Linked DNA regions of Canis lupus familiaris. The main gene of each other region encodes a partner of the protein of the gene in region 5 in a complex. Links are inferred from orthologs where the notes say so. Each region holds a gene or a part of one and is shown on either strand. Other genes may lie near its edges.

Region 1 (3,979 bases), on a different chromosome or scaffold from region 5:
ACTCCTCTGTGCAGAGGCCCCAGCAAATAATGAAGTAATGAACAGCCAAAGTGATCTAACTATCGACCCGCTATTTACAATAGTCACCACCGATGCATTTAATGATCCGCTCACCAGGTCACATCCCCAGCAGGGGGCTAAGGAAGCCCTGGGGCTCTGGGAAATGCTCGGAGTGACTCTGGCTGTCAGCAACAAGCACCTGAGGCTCTCCTCTGGCCCAGGCCGGGGGCAAGAAAGCAGAGCTCCATAACGCAGCATCCTCTCCCTCTCCTTACTGCTTCCCTGTTCTCCCCGCGGCTTGTGGACGCATCCTCGCCCCTCGGCCAGCAGGACCTGTCTGAGGTCACCTCTCCCCCCATCCTCTGTCCCCAGGTCAGGACAGCTGTTTCACATGATCAGAGGAGGCTTCCTACTTTGCTAGATTCCACTACCTTCCACTACCTCCCACTACCTCATAGGAAGTCCTTCTGAATATCCACCTCCCCCCCCACCCCAAAGCCGCAACCAGCAGGGTGCTGCTGGTAAATGTTTAACAACTAGCTCTCCAAAAAGGCTCAATTTTGTAGCATTTGCCTGTGTCTGAGGTGATGTGGCTGTACTTGGGAGTCAGGGAGAGACGTGCAGGTGGACTTCCATGAGCTGGTGCAGGCCAGCTCCAGCATCCGCCACCCCCCAGTTTGGCAATTCTGGCCACCACGGCCACTTCCCCTTGCTCTGTCCTCAGACCCCACACCCCCATCCTATTTCTTTTACATAAAAAAGAATGTGAAGGCCCTCTGAAATGGTAAACATCATACAGGTAGAGGGGTCTGTGAATATATCTGTCTGCGATCTGACTCCCAGCATCACAGCCCTCATCCTAACCTAACTCAGTGCTCCCCTAGCCCCCAGGAACAAGAAGCCCTGCCCAGCGTTTGCTTTTAGTCTTCAGGCCAACCTGACCCCAATTCAGGGCTCACAGATCGAAGTCATCTATGCACTATTGGTACGGCTGCCTGGAAGGTGGGTCTGGGCTCCTGGAAAGTGTGCTGTGATCCACTAGCAACGTGTGCCTCGGCCTTGCAGGGGGCAGTGGCGCCTGAGCCGTGCTAACCTTTCCCAGAACACGCTCCACTCTCCGTCTCAGCCTGGGACCATGCCCACCCAGGCTGCTCTGGAGAACCACCTGCCCCCTGCCACTTATACCCAGGTCCCCGCGCAAGCTGGGGTGCCCTCACCAGTCCTCCGTACCTGTGTGCACCCTATAGTGTGTCTCCAGCTGGTGCTTGAGGCTGAACTTCTTGCCACAACCATTGCACTCGTAGGGTTTCTCGCCCGTGTGTATGCGTTTATGACTCTTGAGTGTGCTCTCATCCCGGAAGCAGCTGCCACAGAACTCACACTCATACGGGTGGTCGCCTGTGGGGACAAAAGGCTGGATCAGAGCCTCGTCTCCCCTACCCCCATCCCCTCTTCAAGAGGCGGCAGGGCACATTTAATGCACCGAGAAGATGAGACTGCCTATCTTCACCACCATTCTTCAAAAACATATAAGGACCCGTGGCCTCCTCTGGGCCCCAGTGTGAACCAGGGAGCTTGTATGCACACACATGTCCATACTTTACAGGGCCCTAGAGTTCATCTGTGGGTCAAGGGCCAATCCCAGGAAGAGAAAGCCCATTTGTTTCAGGGATGAACAGTTGACCCCAGAAAGCAGACCCCCACAAGGGGAGGGCAGACCCGTGGGCTTTGACACCTTGCCCCCCAACTTCTCCTGCCACCCTCTTCCTTTCCCATAGGTAGCCTAACTGCCTCTCCTGCCCTCAAAAAAAAAAACCCTCCAATTTGGGGAACTAGAACACACTGTCCCCCAAATGCCTTGTGCTACCTCCTCGCTCCACAGTTACAACAACTATCCCCTCTGCTTGATTTCCTCTTTCCTTGCTTCAATGAACTCCTACTCATCCTTCAAGACCCAGTTCACACATTACCGTGGTTTGGAAGTTTCCCTTCAACCTCTCCCACCAAGATAAACTGAGTCGCTTTCTTCTATCCTAAGAGAGAAGAAATACCTAGCATTGCGTTATTTTAGCAGCAGGATCATTTTTACGGGAATTTTTAATTGGAATGGTCTAACCTGCTGAAGGCTCACCACCATGCTGGGAGCCTTACACACATCTTATCATGTAATCGCTGCAACCACCTGACAAGAAACACACAATTCTCACCATATAGACGAGAAGAATGAGATGCTTAGCTGATCTCTAAGGTCAAATAGCTCATAAGCTGCTGAGTCAGGATACAGATCTGGTTTTGGAGTCTGAACGCTTGATAACTTATCAGATGGCTAAGTTGCACACAGCCCTGTCTCTCCTGCCACGCACACTGTACCCTGAGGATGGAAGCACCTTGAGGGTCAGAAGGGAGACTTGTCGATCCTTGTTGCCTGGGTACGTAGCACACGGACGACCCAGGGCAGATGCTCAGGCCTGGAAGCGGTGCCGTCGGCCTCCCTTCTGTGTGTGGCACCCATTAGCCCCCTGGAGGGTGAGAGGGTGGGGTGCTGGGATCCACCATCTTTTGCTTTGTACCCAAAGTGGAGGCTTTGGGGGCTGAAAGGTGAGGCCTTCGGCGACTTATTTATTACAGGAGTGAAGGCACAGACAATAAAGATAGATGGATCACCCCAGACTTTGTTCATGAATATTTAAATATCGCTGATTCGTCTTGTCACTGTAATTACAATTTCTCTGGGCTGCATCTCCAACAACCACAGTTTATGGTAAAGAATGGCCCACTGTATTTCACTTGTCCCTCTGCAGATGTGCGGGGCTGCCAACCGTGTAATGTCCTCTGCATTTCATACATTTTCTTCGGCTGCTGAAGGCTTAAGTCATCCACAATGACCTACGTTTTTTCATTATCCCCATGTCAAACTGCACTCGTGCCTGGGCATAAATTGTCCTTCTCGTTATAGACTCGCGTGCCTATGCCTTCACTTCCTCTTTAAAATGATATTTTACTCTCTTGTCTCTCTCCTCCTCAGGCCGCTAACCAAACCTCCCCCCTCTCAAACGCAGGCCCCCGTCCCCACATAAATTCTCATCTCTCCTGATGGTGCTGAAGGGTTTTTAAGGCTCTGTGGGGAGTGGATGCTGGGGTCTGCTCACTGCGGGCTCGCTCTCTCTGCAAGAAGCTCTGAAGACACAGAGCGGTGGTTGGGAGCACTCCCAGGCGGAGTCAGACAGGAGAAGCTGAAAGAGCAGAACCACATCTCCACATGGGTTCTCGCCAAGCTACGGGGTACAGCCCTGGCTGGCTCAGAGGCATGGGCAGGTCTGGAGACAGACCAAATCCTGGGCTTCCCGGCACCTGCCAGGGCCATACAGACCACCTGGTCCCCAGCCTCCAGCCCCACCAAACCCAGGGGGAGTAGAGGTCTATGCAGACCCTGGTCCTCACTAGCTGTGTGTCTGTCTGAGTAAGGGCCAGTCTGCGCAGGCCTGTACTGCGTGCTACTCTCTCTGTGCAGACGTCTGCACACAGCTTCCCCGCCACCCCCGCCCCCCCGCGCCTCGTTGACATCCGACTCCCCCTCCTTGCCGAATTGGCAACGATAACGACTTTAATCAAGGATTCAGTATCCTCATTAAGATATAAATAAATAAATAAAGCAAGGGCCACGTGAGACTTCCAACGAGAGCCGGTAATTAAAACGTACATCGGCAGCCACCCGACTGAGGGGGGGGGGGGGGGGGGGGGGGAGGCGGGCCGGGGAGGGAGGGAGCCGCCGTCTGTGCCTTCCCCTCCAGAGGGGGGCCCTAAGAGTTTAAAAAACAAAGGGTTAAAGCAGAGAGGTTTGTTTGATCAGATTTTTATGAATTTAATTATGAAGTGGATCACATGTTAAATGAGTTTAAATAGGAAATCTCCAGAGTCAGCCCAGGGAAAGGAGTGAAAAGAACTTTGAAGGGAAAAAAAAAAAAGATGCGCACACACA
Region 2 (4,769 bases), on a different chromosome or scaffold from region 5:
TGAGGATGCTATTTCTCCCAGGTCAATCAGGAGTTCTGACTAGAAGTCTGATGCAATTCTAATAATAAAAACAGGCATCGAAGTCTTCCTAATAAGCACAATATGTTTCAGGGACAGTCTTTCAAAAGATGAAGCTTGTGTTTGTGTGTGTGTGTGTGTGTGTGTGAGGGGGGATTATTTAAAAAGGATGCTTGAAGGTAAAATGCTGGCAACTAGGGGCCTGCTGCAGGCAGCCCAAGCTATGGCTTGGCATCAGGTGCCCGAGGGCTGAATTTGCTGCTTGTATATTTCCCTTGGTATATACAAAATATTGGCTTCACATTTAAATCTGGAACCTACATATAATTTATCAATCTTTGTTGGAAAAAAAAAAAATCAAGATTCATTCAACCTTCCTCACTTCCTTTCCTGCCAGGCACCTCCTTAAGAAACACCCTTTAACCCTGCCTGGGGCAAACATTATGCACCGGACATTGATCACACTCGGGACAAAAGCAGGGCACATCTAGGGCAAAAGGGCAGAAAGCCCTGATCTCCTATCCCACCTGAGAAGAACCTGGTGTCCCATACAGACAAAAAGAACGGATTTTATTAACAAAACTGACACTTCACAGCAATTTACATTATTTGCCTATAGTACCTTACGTACTTTTAAATGTTGTATTTTATAAAAATACACTATTTTTTTCACATACACAGTGCTGCACACACAGCAGTCAATAAATGAAAGTGAACCGAGTCCCCTTAATGATGCTATAGCAAAATACTAACATCAGCTAGGAGCTTATCTGTAATAACGATAATGAATTACAGAGTCTGCAGCAATGGTAAGAAAATTCAGACTAAATGACATTGAGCCTGAGAAGATTTATTTATATAAATATACAGATATATAGATATATATATCCTTGCACACACACACACACACACACACACAGAAAGTATACTGGTATCACTGTTATTTCCATATCATTTGGTCTCCATGGATACCATCCAACTTCTGACAGAAAAAATTCACTGACAATATTATATTTCACTGTTAAATTCTTTGATGCTTTACATAAAATAGCTATTCTGTATTTAATTCCTTGCCGTTATCCATAATACTCTCAGAAGAAGTAAATCCCTTTTTGCTGAAAATTCTGTAAGAGAAAGTCAGTGATCAATCCATAGTCCTGATTTCCTGGCTTTTTCGCATTAATAATAGTGACAGATTTCTGAAAGTTAATGCCTTACACATTTGTAGACTGCTGTAACTTCTATAACCTTCTCCCATACACAGTCTCTCCTCTGTTCCCCAAAGCAACCCTATCAGATAGGCAGTTAAGTATTATTATCACCTTCCATAGAAGTAACCCCAGAAGGTAATCACTGTTATTTATCTTTCGGTTGCCTATTATCAGCTCACCGACCACAATACAATTTCCCCAGAGGGTAAGGAAGTTGTTTTCCTGTTCCGAGTAGAACCCACAGAGCCTAGCACTGTGTCTGGGTGCAGAGTGAATGTCCCAGGAATATTTATTAAATGAATAAATAAAGTCCTTCCTCTGCTTTACACCCTTTTTGGTATATAGCACAAAACAGAACCATGTCCCAGATACCCCATTTAGAGTTCTGCTCTCTATCAAAAGGAAATTGTGTGAAAATGTTCTAGAAACAACCAAGCTCGTATCTGATAATCCTAAGAATAAAAGTACAGTGTCCTTGCAAACCTGAAGCAATGGATGCACACCAAAAGTTAAGTATCCAGAGTCTCGAATCTTCCACTACTAGTTGTAAGCTTAACAGCCTTATTAACTGGCTTTGGTATATGGAATATCTGCCTAATAAAGTCTTTCAGAAGGCACAGGAAAGCCGGGCCATAGTTCATAGAGCTGTCAGTACTTAAGGACAACCATTACTTTGCCATAATTTGCTTCCAATTCAACTACAAACTCTCACTTTTGATGCCGGTGACATTTTTACAGGTAAGTCAAGTCTGAAATATGCAAAATTACCTTTTACTTTCCAAGATCAAAAGGAAAAAAAAAAAAAAAAAAGGACAACTCCCTGAGGACGAAGTATATAAATGTTTAATATTAGGAAGCGATTACAAGTCATCACAGAACTCCTGAATCTAAAGAAGCGAAAATCTTGCTTCTTACATAACAGGCCGAGTTATAAATTATAATCGTTCACTGATTGCAGCGAAATTCCGGACTTTACCGTCTATCGATCAACAGATGTTCCAAGGTTACCCCGTAGAAATGCCCGTTTCATTTCTCAATATTCCATGTCTGAAGTCTCCTTAGAAAAGTCGAGTTTTTCCAGGACGTTCTAGGTTCCTACTTCTACCGCTGCCCCCTCCAAAAAAGGAAGCACGGGGCGCTGGGGAAACTGCTGGATCCTGGATCTGCTGGGCGCCCCGAAGTGGGGCAGGGATGGGCCCCCGGGCGCCGGGAGGCGAGCGCGCATCCAAGACCACCCGCCCTCGGAACCACGTCGGCCAGCGGCCCCTCGCTGCACCTGCCCTGAGAGCACCAAGTGCAGGCTCCTAGCCCCCCCCCCCAGCCCCCCACGCCGTGTGCAATCGGTCTGAACCCTGATAAGTGACTGCAGGCTCGACAGCAGCCTCGGTGATTCCTGAAAATCCCCAACAGGAAATGTAACCATCCTCCACCCTCCCCAGCCATTCATCAAAAGCAGACCGAGCCACTGCAACAGGGGAGGCCGGGGGGTCGGGGGGCGCGCAGGAGGCGCAGGGGGCACAGGAGCGCCCGCACTTTTCCAGCTTTGGAGACACTCCGCGTCTTGGGATTCCGTGACCCTGCACGCGGAGCACTACCCACCGCCCGCACGGAGGGAGGAGGCGGAGGAGGGACGGGGCGGGCAAAATGTCCCCAAGTTGCAGAGACTGTCCTCCGGGGCTGCCGAGGAGTGCGCCCGGGCCTGCCCGTGCCAGGGGGCGCAGCTCCCGCCCCCGCCCCCGCCCCCGCTCCCGCTGCAACAGGGCAAGGGCGGCGAACGTACCGGGACCTGGGGCCGGGGCCGGCGCGTCCTGGCGGGGGGACCCGGTCGCATCCGCAGCCCCCCTCCTCCCCCGAACTTGCGGAGGCTCCGCGGGCCCCGCTCGGTGGCCGGGCCGGGCCGGCGGGGCGGGGAGGAAGTGGCGGCCGCGCACCAACCACGTTCGGCCGGCGGGCGAATGCCGCTCGGCGCCCAGAGCGGGGTCGGAGGGCGCGGGGCGGGCACTCGCGTCCCCACCCCGCCCCGCCCGCGCCGCGGACCCCCGGGGGACGCCCGCCCCCGCGCCTGCCAGCGGGGCGCCGCTCGCTCCCCGGAGGCTCCCCGCCCCCACCGCGCCCGCGCCGCGGCCGAGGCGGGTCGGGCCCAGCGCGCCAGGCCGGCCCGGGGGCGCCCGCGGGGACCCGGCGGCGCCGGGCGCTAGGCCGCGGCCGGGGCGGTGACCCCTCGGCGCGGCGCCCTCCCGGGACGCGCCGCCGGAGCCCCCCGCGCGCCGGGACCAGCGCGGCGACAAAGCCCCGGGGCCAGGCCGGGCGCCGGCCGGCGGGAAGGAGGGCGCGGCGTCCCCCCGCGGCGGCGGCGGCGGCGGCGGCCCAGCTCCCGGGCAGCCGGGCGCGCCGGCCAGGCCCCGCTGGCACCCGCCGCCCGCCGCCGCCGCCCAGCACCGTGCCCCGGGCCCGCCGCGGGGCGCCCCACCAAGTTTCCCCTCGCCGGGGCCCGGGGCGCGGGGCGCAGGCAGCGGGGCGCACGGCGGAGCCGCCCGGAGACCGCGAGCCCCGCTCCCCTCCTTCGGATCCCGCGGCGACGGCGTCTGTAAACACGCACACGCACACACACACACACACGCACGCACACGAGAATTTTGTTTTAAAAGGAGGCCCGACTCCGGCGGACCTGCGCCCACACACCCAACACCTGGGGCGCAGAATCACACAGAGCAGGTCTGTGTCCATGGAGCCACCTCTCCGCATCTGCAAATCCAAAAGTGAAATTAAACCTCCACCGACCTCCTCCTCCTCCTCCTCCTCCCTCTCTACCTCCTCCTCCTCCTCCTTGCAGCCTCAGCAGCCCCAGCAGCCTCAGCAGCCCCAGCAGCAGCAGCAGAACCTGCTTCCCCTAAACATCAGACGATCCATCAGAGCGCCGACTGCTCCTCCAAAAATCAGTATTAATATTTATGAACCCCCAGCATTTTCCGGCTGCGACTGTGTCAAACCATCAGCACGCGCGCGCAACACACGCACACGCACACACACACACACACACACACATCCCCTCCAGTGCTCAGCAAACATGCCCTCGAGAAAAACACACACGCACAGTCACAACTATTATTTGAAAAATGTTACCTCTCAGTGTGCTTTTTCACACTACCAATACAATCCCGCAAGGTTTAAGTGTTGCTAGGGTGTGTGAAATGGAAATGAAAGCCCGTCAGTTGAATAATCGCAGGAGCAAAACTAAAAGTTACTCCCCAGCTTGCCTGAGAACAGTCCAGATCGAAAGCAAAACAAGGAGAGGAAACTGCGAAGCGCAGAGGCTGGAAATCCCCCCACCCCCCGCCCTCCTCCCTGCCTGCCTCCCTCCCTCCCTCCCTCCCTCCCTCGCTGCTCGCTCCCTCCCTCGCCTCCCCCCTCCGCCCTCCCCCCTCCGCCCTCCTCCCTCCGCCCTTCCTCCCCAGTGTTTGTTTCGAGCTTGTGCAACCGGGAGGTGGAGGCGGAGGGAGGGCGCGAGCGGCCGGGCCGGGAGGTGCGGAAGTTCGCCGC
Region 3 (3,979 bases), on a different chromosome or scaffold from region 5:
TCGGGGCGGTGCCGCGTCCGCCACAGGGGGGTGACTCGGCCGGGGAGACGGCTCTGCTGCGTCCCCCCCCGACCACCACGTGTTCTCACCTGTCTGTCTAGCAGCGTGTCAGGCCAATGCACGGCCTTAGTGTGCTAAGTGATGGAGGCCCTTCAGGGTGACGATGTTTTTCCTCCCACCTTTTTCTCTTGAGACTTTGTAAATGCAACCTTGGTCAGACACGGGAGTGCACAAAAGGCATCATGCGATGATGGAGGCCACCGCGGGTGCCCCTGTGTAGGGCTCTGGGCCCAGCGTGGCCTGGTAACGTGCCCCGAGAGGGCCCCTCTGTTTGTGGCTCCCCTCTGTGTGTTCACAGAGCTCCATTTGGCCTCTTCTCTGGGTCCTGTCTGCAGATCGTTCCTCCCCCAGCTGTGTCCTGTGCCCTTTGTTGTTCTAGCCACTCCTGAGGGCCCCATAGTGCCGCGGCCTGCTGCGCTGGGGGGCAGGAGAAGGCCTGGCTAGATGCTTGGGGGCCAGGGAGCTCTTGCCAGTGGTGAGACACAGGGTCAGGCATGCCAGGGGCTGACCCCGAGCGATTAGGAGCCAGGGCAGCTTGAGCAGGCTGCTGTGAATCGAGTCCAGAAGGTGGAGCCCCCTCCCCGTGGCACAGCCAGGATAGGAAGCATGTTTTGTCTCTGTAAGCAGGGAGGTGGCATTTCTTCCACTTTCTTTGTGCCCACCAGTGCCCGCGAAGGGATGTTGTTGAGGCGGTCTTGGAAGAGCTGCGTAGCATGTCTCCAGGCAATAAATACAGATGCTTTGGGCCTTTTTTGGAGCTGGTGACTTATGTCCTGTTTTCCTGGCAGTATCTTACAGCCCCATATCAGGACCCCTTAGGGTGGTGAAACTGTCCCTTAGGAAGTTCTTGGCTGGCTTTTTAGATCCATTTCAGTGGATTTTGTTGGTGGGAATAGTTGGGAGTGATAATGGCCATTAACAGAGTCTAGTTGCTTCTGGTAGGTCTAAGTAGGGAGTGGATTGGATCAGTGAAAAGTCTCCAGGTTCACTTTCTCTTAATCCAGTCTTTCCTTTGCATAGTCTAAAAAGTTACTCAAATGTCCACGTTTTGCAGGATCACCTCTGTGATCAGAGAGTTGCATTCTAGGCCTTGAGTCACAGTGGGTTGTGATTTTTTTTCTCTTGTGATACAAACATGATTGTAAACTTTGCAATTTCATACGGTTTCTTTCCAACCCCAGACTATTTCGTGCTGCTCAGTTGCTGTTAATCTTGGTAGGGAGAGCTGTATGGGGAGACTTGTGAGCTGCTGCTCCATGCGCAGCTTAGAGTCTCTGATAAATGAAGGTGAGAAGAACATGGCAGTGCCTCAGTGCTAGTGTCTGCTTGTTGCTCATGGCACGCTCACAACATTGGCTGGTGTTTTTGTTTCCCGCTCAGCGCGGTGCCCGGGCGACGACAGAACACCATTGTGGTGAAGGTGCCGGGTCAAGAGGACAGCCACAACGAGGACGGGGAGAGCGGGTCCGAGGCCAGCGACTCCTTTTCCAACTGTGGACAGTCAGGAAGTCAGAACATTGGCAACAACGTCACCCTCATCACCCTCAACTCAGAAGGTGCGCCCGCAAAGCTTCTTTCCTTTGCCTGAGAGGCGGTAGGTACGGCTTCCTGTCCTGTTCTGTGTGTTTGCCGCGGAGGAAAGCAAAGCGGTCAGCCTCACAGTGTTTCAACTTGATGATGGCTCACAACCAATCCATGCTTGGTAGAAACTGTACTTCAAATTTTGAATTGGGGTCTTGTCCCCAGGCTGGCAGCGTGCAGTCTGGTCTTGGTGATGTGAGGTAGCGGCTCCCAATCAGCCCGTAGTCATGCAGTCAGTAGCCACCAGGCCGACCACTGTTCCGCATCCCCTGCAAGCCCTTCTGTTTGCCCCTTTCAGCACTGTGTTCGGTAAGTTCCATGAGCTCTCTCGCACGGTATTTGTGTGACATGATTTTGCCCAGCTATAGGCTAACGTGGATGTTCTGAGCACATCTAGGGTGGGCTGGGCGAACATGTGATACTTGGTAGGTTAGGGGTGTTAGATGAATTTGTGACTTAAGATTTTTTCAACCTATGATAGGTTTCTTGGGACATAGCCCCATCCCCAGTTGAGGAAGATCTGTACATGTTTACTGTTTTTAAAAAGTGGTAGAAGAAAGTGAGAAAAACATAAAATTTCATGTCCAGAGAGCTCTGTAGAATCCTGTGGGCTTTTTCCATGTGAGCATAAACATGGTATGATTCATGGTGTGACACAGACCTCATTCATGCACGTCTAGTCAGCTTCTGGAGGCTTTCTAATGACAGGCATTGTGCTTCTATAACTAGTAGCTGGTCACTGCCTTTGACCATAGGCCTATCCACGTCTCTGTTGAAGACCAGACACAGGTGCTCAGAGGGGATTGTACAACCTTCCACGAGATGTAGAGGGAGCTGCTCTGCTGGCTGGATGTGAGCCTGGACGTGAGCCTCTTTCACCCACACCAGGGCTCCTGTCCCCCCGTCTCTCCTGCCAGGGTCTGATGTATGCTCTCGACTGGCCCTGGTCCCTGCTGCTGGCCTGATGTGCCTCTCAGAGGCTCCCTGCTGCCTGGCACCTTTGCCCTGCCTTTGTGGGCCAACCTCGGCTTCCCACATGGCTTTTCATAGCATGGGGAAGAGGGCAGATTGATGGTTTAGCGCTGTGTTACTGACTTCTAAAGCCTCTTGTTTCATTTACTAGTAAACTTGTCAGGTTTATTGGTTTTATGTCTGAGTTGTTGATTATTACCAGAAGCACAATATCGATTCCTAAAGGCAGTGATGTAGATTTACTGAGCAAAGATTTTCCTGTTAGACAGGTTACCATATCTGAAAGACTGAAGACAGTGTTTTTCTCAAAGTTTTGCTCAATTCTGACATAAATTGCTAGGATTGGGACAGCACAGCAGGAGTGAGGAGAGAATCAGGGTTTAGGGACAGCGTTTTTTAAAAACTTAGATCGAGGGCAGCCCGGGTGGCTCTGTGGTTTAGCGCCGCCTTCAGCCCAGGGGCTGATCCTGGAGACCCGGGACCGAGTCCCACGTCGGGCTCCCTGCATGGAGCCTGCTTCTCCCTCTGCCTGTGTCTCTGCCCCTCTCTCTCTCTCTCTCTTTCTCTGTTTCTCTCATGAATAAATAAATAAAATCTTAAAAAAAAAATAAAATTAAAAAATAGAAACTGAGATCGAATTTAAATACCATAAGGTTGACCATTTTAAATAAGCATCCAATTCAGTGGTTTTTAGTACATTCACATGGTTGTGCAGCCATTGCCCAGGCTAATTCCAGAACATTTCTGTCAGGAAGGAGGCCCTGCTACAGTCACTGGCCATTCTCCCTGGTATTCACCAGTCCACTCTCCATCCCCGGAATTATGTGTTGCAGGCGCTTCACACACGGGGGAGCCGTGTAGAGCACGCCATCCCTTCTGTGGCCAGGTCCTGCTCCATCATGTGGATGCACCACATTTTGTCCACCCATCTGTTCATTTGTCAGTGGACACTTGAAGTGCTTCCAGTTTTTAACTGTGATGACAATGCCTATCTAGGTAGTTTGCGAGAACATGTGTTTTTGTTCCTCTTCGTAGGCACCTGGGAGGGGAATCACTTAGTTTTTTTACACATTAAGTTTGAGGAAGAGAGGGATGCCATCAATCTCAGCTAATGGAGATTTACCATCCATAGTAGAGATGGCATCTGTAACTACGTGTTCTTCCTGTCTGTGCACGTGGATTCTGGGTAGATGCCCACATAGGTCTGGCTGGCCACTCAAAGCTTCATGTTTGTTTGGTTTAAACTGCATCAGTTAGGGAGCATAGCACCCAGTAGTTCTGTGAGTTTCTCAGTGAGTATCATAAAAACAAAATATTTCAGCTTTTTATGTGTCTTACTGTGATGTGATTAATGTAAGATATATTT
Region 4 (4,426 bases), on a different chromosome or scaffold from region 5:
TCAAATGCTGCCTACACCAACTGTACATTCCATTTTCCAAATAACTTCCCTGGAATGCTGGTGAGCTGCTATGTTTAATATGAATATTTCCAAAGTACTGGATTTAAAGAAATAGCAATGGTTCCAACTTTTCTTACCAAAAAAAAAAAAAATTCCCATCTGAGATTTATGCCCATCCTCAAAACACCCTTTTGAGTTCAGAGCAGATGTGTGCAGTGTTTATACTAAGAAAACCACCAGTACATAAACAACCCACTAAAAACACCACTCAAGTTTTGCTGTGCTTTTCTTCATTTCCTGTGTATTTATTTTGGTGTTAATATAACGTTAACTTTCGTAGTAAGGAAAATAGCAGCAGATGTTTAAACCAAACAAACTATAGCAAATCATCCTACATATCTACTCAACTTTCAAAATCAAAGTTTCTTCCTCCCCCCAAAAGAGGGAAGCTTCAAGCAGACTACTCTCAAGTATATTACAGACTACAGAACAACAAATCAACCTGGTGGAGCTTTCCGTAAGCCTTTCCTCACCACCCCCAACTAAAGACATAAAAAAGTAATGTGGTATCAATTTCCTAGCAATCCCTCTATCCCTCTCTTAAGCGGATCGTTATGTTTTATTTTGTTTTGGTTTGGTTTGAGAATATCATATTACACAATGACAAAGACAAGCCACCAGATATTGCCTTAAGACTTTGTGATTTCTTGATCACTGAAAAAAAAGATGTTTTTAAAAACTGCAGTATATTAATTTCACAAGAAATGAGCCCAGTCACTCGCTACTTCCACCACCCTGAAGAAGTCTGCCTTTTTTAAAATGAGTGATTTCAGAAGTAACACGATAGTTAAAAACAGCAGATTCAAAGAAAGCAAACACCAAAATTCTCATTAGTGGAACAAGCAGGAGTTTAAATACGTATAACTTTTTAGAAAAAATTTTAAGTATGAGATCCTTATCCTGAGTGAAATAAAAAACAGTATGAATGAGATTTTATGTTCCTTGAAGGGGAAAGGGTAAGTTTTCAACTGACTAGGTAACAGGCCTGAAATTTTACATGAAAAATACAAGTTTCCTCAATGTTTTCTTTTTCAAAAGAAACGTTCAGTTCACTATTAAGGGAAAACATGGAAACTCCTACTGAATCAGAAAGGAGATGTCTCCTCCTCGATTTGTATTTGGTTACAACAAAAAACGCCCCTCCTGCCAAGCTGAATTCCCCCGCAGATGCCTCTCCGGCCACTCAAACCCAGGCCATTTCCACTTTTTCAAATTGCACGTAGATAATGTTCCAACAGATCAAGAAATCGCTTTTTCTCTTCTTCCTACCAACAGGGGCAGCTTGAAATGCTACAAGGCGGTGGGGAAACACCTCACAGTTTAGCAGGAGGTGATAAACAAGAAGAATTCTGAGTAGGTTTCTTTCTTTCTTTCTCTCTTTCAATTTAGCTTTCTGGTTGGTGTGTTGTGCAATCACTTCCACAAGGGACCGGAGTGTGGAGGGAACATCCTTCAATGTCAGAACTCTCTAGAGCAGTACAGGAAATGGGAAATCAGACAAAGAGCCAGTCTGTGCTTTGTGACATGGGTGCCCTTCCAGTCCCCCAAACTGAATAGAAAAATTCTTCATTGTTTGGGACAATAGCTCCTGAAAACAAAAACTCACTGTAACTTTCTGTTCCCCTCTACATGAAAATCCAAAGCACTGACTGGAATACAACATGAATACTGTAGATAGTGTATGTTTAAAATAAGTATCAGAGCTGGGGGTGGGGGAGGTGACCAACTCGTTTAACTTTTCCTGGTCCTAGAAGTTCTTCCTCTAAAGAGAGCACCAGCAGAAAACAAAAATAATCATATTATCAAGAGTTAAAAATTTTGAAGAGTTAATGTTGCAAGCAAAAGGGAAACTTTTAACAGTTTATATTTCACTGCCTTCCCTCCCCCACTGTAACCCTGAAAGCTAAGATAGAAACAGCAAACTTTGTATTGAAAATAGTGCATAATAAATACTCGCCTTTCAAAGCACCCTAAAATCCCAAGAAAGAGAGCAAAATACACAGAAGGCATTCAGAACCCTAAAGGAGGAGTGGCCTTAACAAAAGCAATAGGAGAGCAATTTCTAGAACAGAACCTCTACCTTCGTAGCACAGAATGCCGATATTGTTGTTCATCTTGTCCAAGTACTGGTAGTTCAACAGGTCCATCTTCATAAATAGCATTTATTGGGCTAGCACAGAAAACCAGCTCTTTGCTTTCCGCCCCCAAAGAGTAGGTTTCAAAAATCAATTATTACTGAGTAGCTCCTGGCTCTTCTCAAACTTCACAAAGACAGCGAGGCCCAGCCTCAGACGATCAAAACAAAGTATGTAAAAGTAAAAAAAAAAAAAAAGAAAGAAAGAAAGAAAGAAAAGAGAAAACAAAAACACGCCACCAAAAAAATCAAAGTCACACGGAAACCCTTGGAGGGTTTATTTGTAGACAGTATAGGTTTTGTATCCTCGATGGAGCACTTAAAAACCGTTTCGGAAGTCTTTGCAGGTCTTTCTTCGCAGTAGAAAAGGGGTGAAGACGAAGACCACGAAGCACATTTCCTCGGACAAAGCCGCGCTCGCCCTCCTCACAGCCCGCTGCAAGGGAACCGCGCTGACATGCTGGCTATGCTCGGTATGACTCGAATGCGAGCGAGCTTCCTCTCCCCGCCGAGGGCCACGGAGCATGCTCACTGCGCCCCGCAGCTCCTCAAATGTCAGGGATATTTTCTGCACAAGATCAGTCTCTAAATGCATTAAGTGCTTGAAAGAAAGAGAAAGAGGAGGTGGAGAGTCTGAACAGAGGGGCCGGGGCAGAGCTGCTCTGGACAGGAAGCAGCCCTGCCACTGCAAGAACCCTAGGAGGGAGAGAAAACCCAGGAAGTTTCTTTTTCGGGAGCTGAGTAAAAAAGTAAAAAAAAAAAAAATCCATCATGGAAGCAAACTTCCACAGAATTTAACCTTGGCTGGGTCTTCACTGTGGGGATTCGGGAACCCAGGCTGCTGCGTTTGCCGTGGTACATATACCATGCGTTATTTGGAAGGTTTTTTGTTTCTTTTAAAAATTGGTTTACGATGTCCTTTTACACTTCTACACTTCGGGCTGTATGTTTCAAATTTTGATCTGAATGTTACATAGAACTTCTCTCCTGCTCCTCATGACATGAACCGGGCGGAGATGGTATCACTTTTTTTTTTTTTTTTTTTTTGGTATCACTTTTTTACAGCAGAGAAAACTGAGGCTCAGAGGGATTAAATGACTGACCCAGGACCCCAAAATAGTTGGTAAAACTACTTTTAGGGTATTTTTTCCCCTAATAATTTTCCTTAAAGAAAAAAAGGAGGGAAAGAGAGAAAAAAGAGAAAACAGAGAAAGTGGTTTAAGCAAGGAAGACCAAAAGCCTATTTGAAATGACGGGTCATGAGGAGAATAAAGGCATTTTCATTCGGCACATATGAAAGCTGTTTCATCTATTTATTAGGGGCCAGTAGCATGTTGCTATGCTGTTCCTATACTGTTAAACTGGGGATCCTGGGTGGCTCAGCAGTTTAGCACCTGCCTTTTTGGCCCAGGGTGCGATCCTGGAGTCCCGGGTTCGAGTCCCACATCGGGCTCCTGGCATGAAGCCTGCTTCTCCCTCCTCCTGTGTCTCTGCCTCTCTCTCTCTCTCTCTATCATAAATAAATAAATAAATCTTTAAAAAATAAAAATAAAAAAATAAAAAATAAAACCCTTAAACTTCGTATCTCCAGTATCTAGTACAAGTAGGTACCCAAAAGCTGTTTACTGATGAGTACATCACTGAATGTCCAGAGCCTTTAAGCGCACAAAGAGCACACTAGCAAACAGAGGGAGGAAATTGTTTTATCTTAGCAGGCTGTAGCTAGCTTTTGGCACCATAAATTGACTAATAATTCACCACAGGAAGTGTCTGTGTATTGATATGAATATATGCTATTTGGAGATTTAGAAAATATCAAGGAGTGTCATACTGTAGATCAAGACCTGAAATTTTAATATTCTACAGAGCTGAATAAATAATTTCAGGGGATTTTTAAAATCCATCAGTAGTTGCATTTTGGATGACAGATGTTCACAGCAAATTGTTCTAATCAAATCTTATTAGAAGATTAACAAAACACCCAATACTACTGCTATCACTGGATAGCAGCGGGTGAAGTAGGCAACAGAAAAATCAAGATTTCACAAGCTTTCATTTATAAGGGTATCTATTAACATTGGGTTACATATTCTAGATACTGAATAAGCTGTACAGAAAGATATATATATATATATATATCATCAATTATAATTAAAATAATGGTATTTGGCAGGGAAGGTCAGAAGAAAGCTCTAATAGCATCCACAATACACTAGATTATTGCATTTCAAA
Region 5 (4,422 bases):
CGGTCGGGTCGGCCGGCGCCGCCGGGAGGCCTCGGTGCCCGCCGTGGGGGCGGGGGGTCCGCCGAGCGGCGTGTGCACGCGCTCCCAGGCGTGGGCAGGGCCAGCCGCCTCTGCTAGTAAAGCTGGAGGGCAGCGCCGGCGCGAGTGTGAAAGCGCTTCGTGGCGCTCGAGTGTAACTCCTTAAAAGCACCAAAACTGTGAACCACGCTAGATTGAAAATCCCCATCCTCAAGAGGCCGACGGCCCCGAATCAGAGCGGCCTTGCTCTTAGAAACACGAGCGGGAAGCCGCGTTCGGCCCAAACGTTCCGGAGGGCAGGGAGGGTGACCGAGTAGTGGAGGCAGCCGAGCGGCCGCAGGGAAGTGAGCCGCCGGGGACACGGCTGGCGGGGCGGGCGGCGCGGGCGGCGCGGAGCCGGCTCTCCCGGCAGCGCCCGTTCTCCCTGCGCAGGGCAGGAGGGGGCGGGGGAGGGCGCGAGCGCGGGGGAGGACGGGCGCGCGCCCGCGCCCGCGCCCGCGCCCGCGCCCGCGCGCGCGAGGGGAGGGGGCCCGCGCAGGCGCGGTGCGAGGCTGTCGAAGAATCAAGTCTGTAGAAGTGGAGCGGCCGCGGCGGCAGCAGCAGCAGCAGCGACGGTGGCGGCGGAGCTGAGGCGGGCTGGGCGCTGACGCGGGTGCTGGAGAGCGGCGACGCCAGGAGCTGTGAGGGAACAGCGGAGCGACCCGGGGCCCGCGCCGCGCCCGTGCTCCACGCCGTCCGGCCGCTGCCTCGGCGCGGCATGACCCGCCGCTCGGGCTGAGCCTGCCCCGGCGGCCGCCCCCCGCCCCCCGCCCCCCCGGCCTCCCCGCCCCCCGCCCTGCACTCCGCGCCGGCCGCCGCCGCGACCTGCTGCGCTCCCCCGCGCCCGCGCGGCCCGTCTTCGCTCCGGTCTGGAGGCCGGCCGCGGCCCCGGCCGAGCTCCCGCCGCCGCCGCCGCCGCCGCCGCCGCCGCCGCCGCCGCGCCCGCCGCGCCGCGCCGCGCCGCCGCCCGCCAGCGCCCGCGCCCGAGCCGGCCGGGGGGACGTGCTGCCGCGGCTGCAGCCCCTCGCCCCGCGCCCGCCGCCCCTCGTGCCCCGGGGGCGCTGCGCGGGCGCCGAGCCTTCGCGGGCTTTGCCGCCGCCGCCGCCGCCTCTGCGGCCGCCGCCGCCGCTGGTGGGAGAGACGCGGGGTTGGGGGGGGCGGAGGGCGCGCGTGGTGCCGGCGGGGAGCGGCGGCGCCCCCTCCTCCGCCTCCGCCTCCGCCTCCTCCTCCGCCTCCACCTCCAGCGCCGCGGGCTCCTCGGACATGGCCGCGGCGGTGGCGGTGGCGGCCGCTTCCCGGCGGCAGTCGTGCTACCTGTGTGACCTGCCCCGCATGCCCTGGGCCATGATCTGGGACTTCACCGAGCCCGTGTGCCGCGGCTGCGTCAACTACGAGGGCGCCGACCGCGTCGAGTTCGTCATCGAGACCGCGCGGCAGCTCAAGCGGGCGCACGGCTGCTTCCCGGAGGGCCGCTCCCCGCCCGGCGCCGCGGCCCCCGCCGCCGCCAAGCCGCCGCCGCTGTCGGCCAAGGACATCCTCCTGCAGCAGCAGCAGCAGCAGCAGCAGCTGGGCCACGGCGGCCCCGAGGCCGCCCCGCGCGCCCCGCAGGCCCTGGAGCGCTACCCGCTGGCGGCCGCCGCCGAGCGGCCCCCGCGCCTCGCCTCCGACTTCGGCGGCAGCCGCCCGGCCGCGGGCCTGGCCCAGCCGCCGACGCCGCAGCCGCCGCCCGTGAACGGCATCCTGGTGCCCAACGGCTTCTCCAAGCTGGAGGAGCCCCCGGAGCTGAACCGCCAGAGCCCGAACCCGCGGCGCGGCCACGCCGTGCCGCCCACCCTGGTGCCGCTCATGAACGGCTCGGCCACGCCGCTGCCCGCCGCGCTCGGCCTCAGCGGCCGCGCCGCCGCCTCGCTGGCCGCCGTGTCCGGGGCCGCGGCCGCCGGCCTGGGCTCGGCGCAGCCCGCCGAACTGAGCTCGCACAAGCGGCCGGCGTCCGTGTCGAGCAGCGCGGCCGCGGAGCACGAGCCGCGCGAGGCGGTGGCCAAGGAGAAGCAGCCGCCGCCGCCGCCGCCGCCGCCCTCGCACCGCGGCGCCGCCGACGGCCTGGCCGGCGCGGCCGGGGCCACCGAGCTGGGAGCCGAGGGCGCGGGCAAAGGCCGCGGGCCCGGGGAGCAGGACTGGGTCAACAGGCCCAAGACCGTGCGAGACACGCTGCTGGCGCTGCACCAGCACGGCCACTCGGGGCCCTTCGAGAGCAAGTTTAAGAAGGAGCCGGCCCTGACTGCAGGCAGGTTGTTGGGTTTCGAGGCCAACGGGGCCAACGGGTCTAAAGCAGGTAGGGGCGGCTGCGGAGTGCGAGGGGACCTAGGGGGCGAGCGGGGGAGCGGAACAGCGGAGGGGGTGCTCTTGCCATTCGCCGCTCAACCCCAGCCCAGAAACAACAAACACCCAACTTCCTGATCTGCCCGAGGCGGAACCAGTGCTTAGTGGCAACGTGTTCATGTGCTGAAGCAGCATAACAGAGATGAGTCAGACTGGGCTGATAGGCACTGACACAGGGTTTTCCTTTCCCAGCACATTCTTGGGTGGGAGCGGGAGGGCACCAGCCACCCTTTACCTTGCTGGGGGCCGTTAGCAATTGAATGCGCGGGTTCCACGTGTAGGTACGGGGCGGACGTGCGTGCGTGCATGTGTAAAAACAGGCTGTCACTGCGGTGCTGCGTTCTGTGGCTTATTTTCAAATACTGCCTGAGAGCCCCGTGAGTCCTAAGTGTTGGGAGTTGCACGTGCACTTGAAACTCCTGAGTGAGATTTTTATATAGGGGCTTGGGGAGAATAGAAATTCTTTAGCGGATCTTGTTTTGTGTTCGTGAAAGAAAGGTCCTTTTCAGTGCACATCCGTTTACTGTTTTCTTTTCTCCCCCTTCTCAGTTGCCAGAACAGCAAGGAAGAGAAAGCCTTCGCCAGAACCAGAAGGTGAAGTCGGCCCCCCTAAGATCAATGGAGAGGCACAGCCATGGCTGTCCACACCCACCGAAGGGCTCAAGATCCCCATTACTCCTACATCCTCTTTTGTGTCTCCACCACCACCCACTGCCTCACCTCATTCCAACCGGACCACACCGCCTGAAGCGGCTCAGAACGGCCAGTCGCCCATGGCAGCCCTGATCTTAGTAGCAGACAATGCAGGGGGCAGTCATGCCTCAAAAGATGCCAACCAGGTTCACTCCACCACCAGGAGGAATAGCAGCAGTCCACCCTCTCCGTCCTCTATGAACCAAAGAAGGCTAGGCCCCAGAGAGGTGGGGGGCCAGGGGGCAGGCAACACAGGAGGACTGGAGCCAGTGCACCCTGCCAGCCTCCCAGACTCTTCTCTGGCAGCCAGCGCCCCTCTATGCTGCACCCTCTGCCACGAGCGGCTGGAGGACACCCACTTTGTGCAGTGCCCGTCTGTCCCTTCGCACAAGTTCTGCTTCCCTTGCTCCAGACAAAGCATCAAACAGCAGGGAGCTAGTGGAGAGGTCTATTGTCCCAGTGGGGAAAAATGCCCTCTTGTGGGCTCCAATGTCCCCTGGGCCTTTATGCAAGGGGAAATTGCAACCATCCTTGCTGGAGATGTGAAAGTGAAAAAAGAGAGAGACTCGTGACTTTCCGGTTTCAGAAAAACCCAATGATTACCCTTAACTAAAACTGCTTGAATTGTGTATATATCTCCATATATATATATATATATATATATATATGTATATATACATATATACATATATATACACACACACACTCATATATATATATATATATATATGTGCATATATATATATATATATATATATCCAAGACAAGGGAAATGTAGACTTCATAAACATGGCTGTATAATTTTGATTTTTTTTTGAATACATTGTGTTTCTATATTTTTTTTTTGACGACAAAAGGTATGTACTTATAAAGGCATTTTCTTCTTTTGTTAATGTTATTAGCATATCTTTGTGCTTTATTATCCTGGTGACAGTTACCGTTCAATGTAGGCTGTGACTTGCGCTGCTTTTTTAGAGCACTTGGCAAATCCGAAATGCTTCTAGCTGTATTTGTATGCACTTCTTTTAAAAAGAAAAAAAAAAAAAGCCAAATACATTTTCTGACATTGTAAGATTGCCTTACTGTCTGTTATTCCTTAATGCTGGCCCCTTTCTCAGGCTGGAGGCCAGTTGGTGGAGAAGGAAAGGGAAGGAGCCAAGGGGGCACTGTTGTGAAGTGGGTGGCATGCCACTGAGAAATATCACCAAGTTTACCCCAAAACATTGTCCTCTCAGAGTAGTAGGAAAATAGATTTTGAATCTTTTATCTATTTTGTTCTGAAAGTTCAGTTGT

The links.
Region 1: the proteins of IRF2BP2 (region 5) and ZBTB16 are in contact, whole or in part, in a crystal structure (PDB 8YTH), measured with the Homo sapiens proteins. The link is inferred for Canis lupus familiaris from reciprocal best matches to the Homo sapiens genes IRF2BP2 and ZBTB16. Residues at the interface, in NP_892017.2 of Homo sapiens: Thr516, His517, Phe518, Val519, Gln520, Pro522, Phe531, Leu557, Trp564, Ala565, Phe566, Met567, Glu570, Thr573, Ile574; in NP_001018011.1 of Homo sapiens: Arg285, Ser287, Val288, Ile289, Thr290, Ser291.
Region 2: the proteins of IRF2BP2 (region 5) and IRF2 are in contact, whole or in part, in a crystal structure (PDB 8YTG), measured with the Homo sapiens proteins. The link is inferred for Canis lupus familiaris from reciprocal best matches to the Homo sapiens genes IRF2BP2 and IRF2. Residues at the interface, in NP_892017.2 of Homo sapiens: His517, Phe518, Val519, Gln520, Pro522, Phe531, Leu557, Trp564, Ala565, Phe566, Met567, Glu570, Thr573, Ile574; in NP_002190.2 of Homo sapiens: Arg331, Ala332, Ser333, Val334, Ile335, Lys336.
Region 3: IRF2BP2 (region 5) and BANP share a complex: the UniProt entries of both Homo sapiens proteins name them as parts of the corepressor complex. The link is inferred for Canis lupus familiaris from reciprocal best matches to the Homo sapiens genes IRF2BP2 and BANP.
Region 4: the proteins of IRF2BP2 (region 5) and VGLL4 are in contact, whole or in part, in a crystal structure (PDB 8YTF), measured with the Homo sapiens proteins. The link is inferred for Canis lupus familiaris from reciprocal best matches to the Homo sapiens genes IRF2BP2 and VGLL4. Residues at the interface, in NP_892017.2 of Homo sapiens: Thr516, His517, Phe518, Val519, Gln520, Pro522, Phe531, Leu557, Trp564, Ala565, Phe566, Met567, Glu570, Thr573, Ile574; in NP_055482.2 of Homo sapiens: Arg161, Ser163, Val164, Ile165, Thr166.

The regions. Positions count from the first base shown.
Region 1 is NC_049226.1:19,123,555-19,127,533, forward strand, and holds part of ZBTB16 (zinc finger and BTB domain-containing protein 16), read right to left. Parts: intron 1,399-3,979; coding exon 1,231-1,398; intron 1-1,230. UniProt on the Homo sapiens protein: Acts as a transcriptional repressor. Transcriptional repression may be mediated through recruitment of histone deacetylases to target promoters. May play a role in myeloid maturation and in the development and/or maintenance of other differentiated tissues.
Region 2 is NC_049237.1:46,981,618-46,986,386, reverse strand, and holds the start of IRF2 (interferon regulatory factor 2), read right to left. Parts: upstream 3,154-4,769; 5' UTR 3,061-3,153; coding exon 3,010-3,060; intron 2,500-3,009; exon of another isoform or gene 2,206-2,499; intron 1-2,205. UniProt on the Homo sapiens protein: Specifically binds to the upstream regulatory region of type I IFN and IFN-inducible MHC class I genes (the interferon consensus sequence (ICS)) and represses those genes. Also acts as an activator for several genes including H4 and IL7.
Region 3 is NC_049226.1:65,688,660-65,692,638, reverse strand, and holds part of BANP (protein BANP), read left to right. Parts: intron 1-1,440; coding exon 1,441-1,616; intron 1,617-3,979. UniProt on the Homo sapiens protein: Controls V(D)J recombination during T-cell development by repressing T-cell receptor (TCR) beta enhancer function. Binds to scaffold/matrix attachment region beta (S/MARbeta), an ATC-rich DNA sequence located upstream of the TCR beta enhancer.
Region 4 is NC_049241.1:6,902,820-6,907,245, reverse strand, and holds the start of VGLL4 (transcription cofactor vestigial-like protein 4), read right to left. Parts: upstream 2,862-4,426; 5' UTR 2,223-2,861; coding exon 2,141-2,222; intron 1-2,140. UniProt on the Homo sapiens protein: May act as a specific coactivator for the mammalian TEFs.
Region 5 is NC_049225.1:5,615,913-5,620,334, forward strand, and holds the start of IRF2BP2 (interferon regulatory factor 2-binding protein 2), read left to right. Parts: upstream 1-1,263; 5' UTR 1,264-1,320; coding exon 1,321-2,389; intron 2,390-2,985; coding exon 2,986-3,701; 3' UTR 3,702-4,422. UniProt on the Homo sapiens protein: Acts as a transcriptional corepressor in a IRF2-dependent manner; this repression is not mediated by histone deacetylase activities. Represses the NFAT1-dependent transactivation of NFAT-responsive promoters.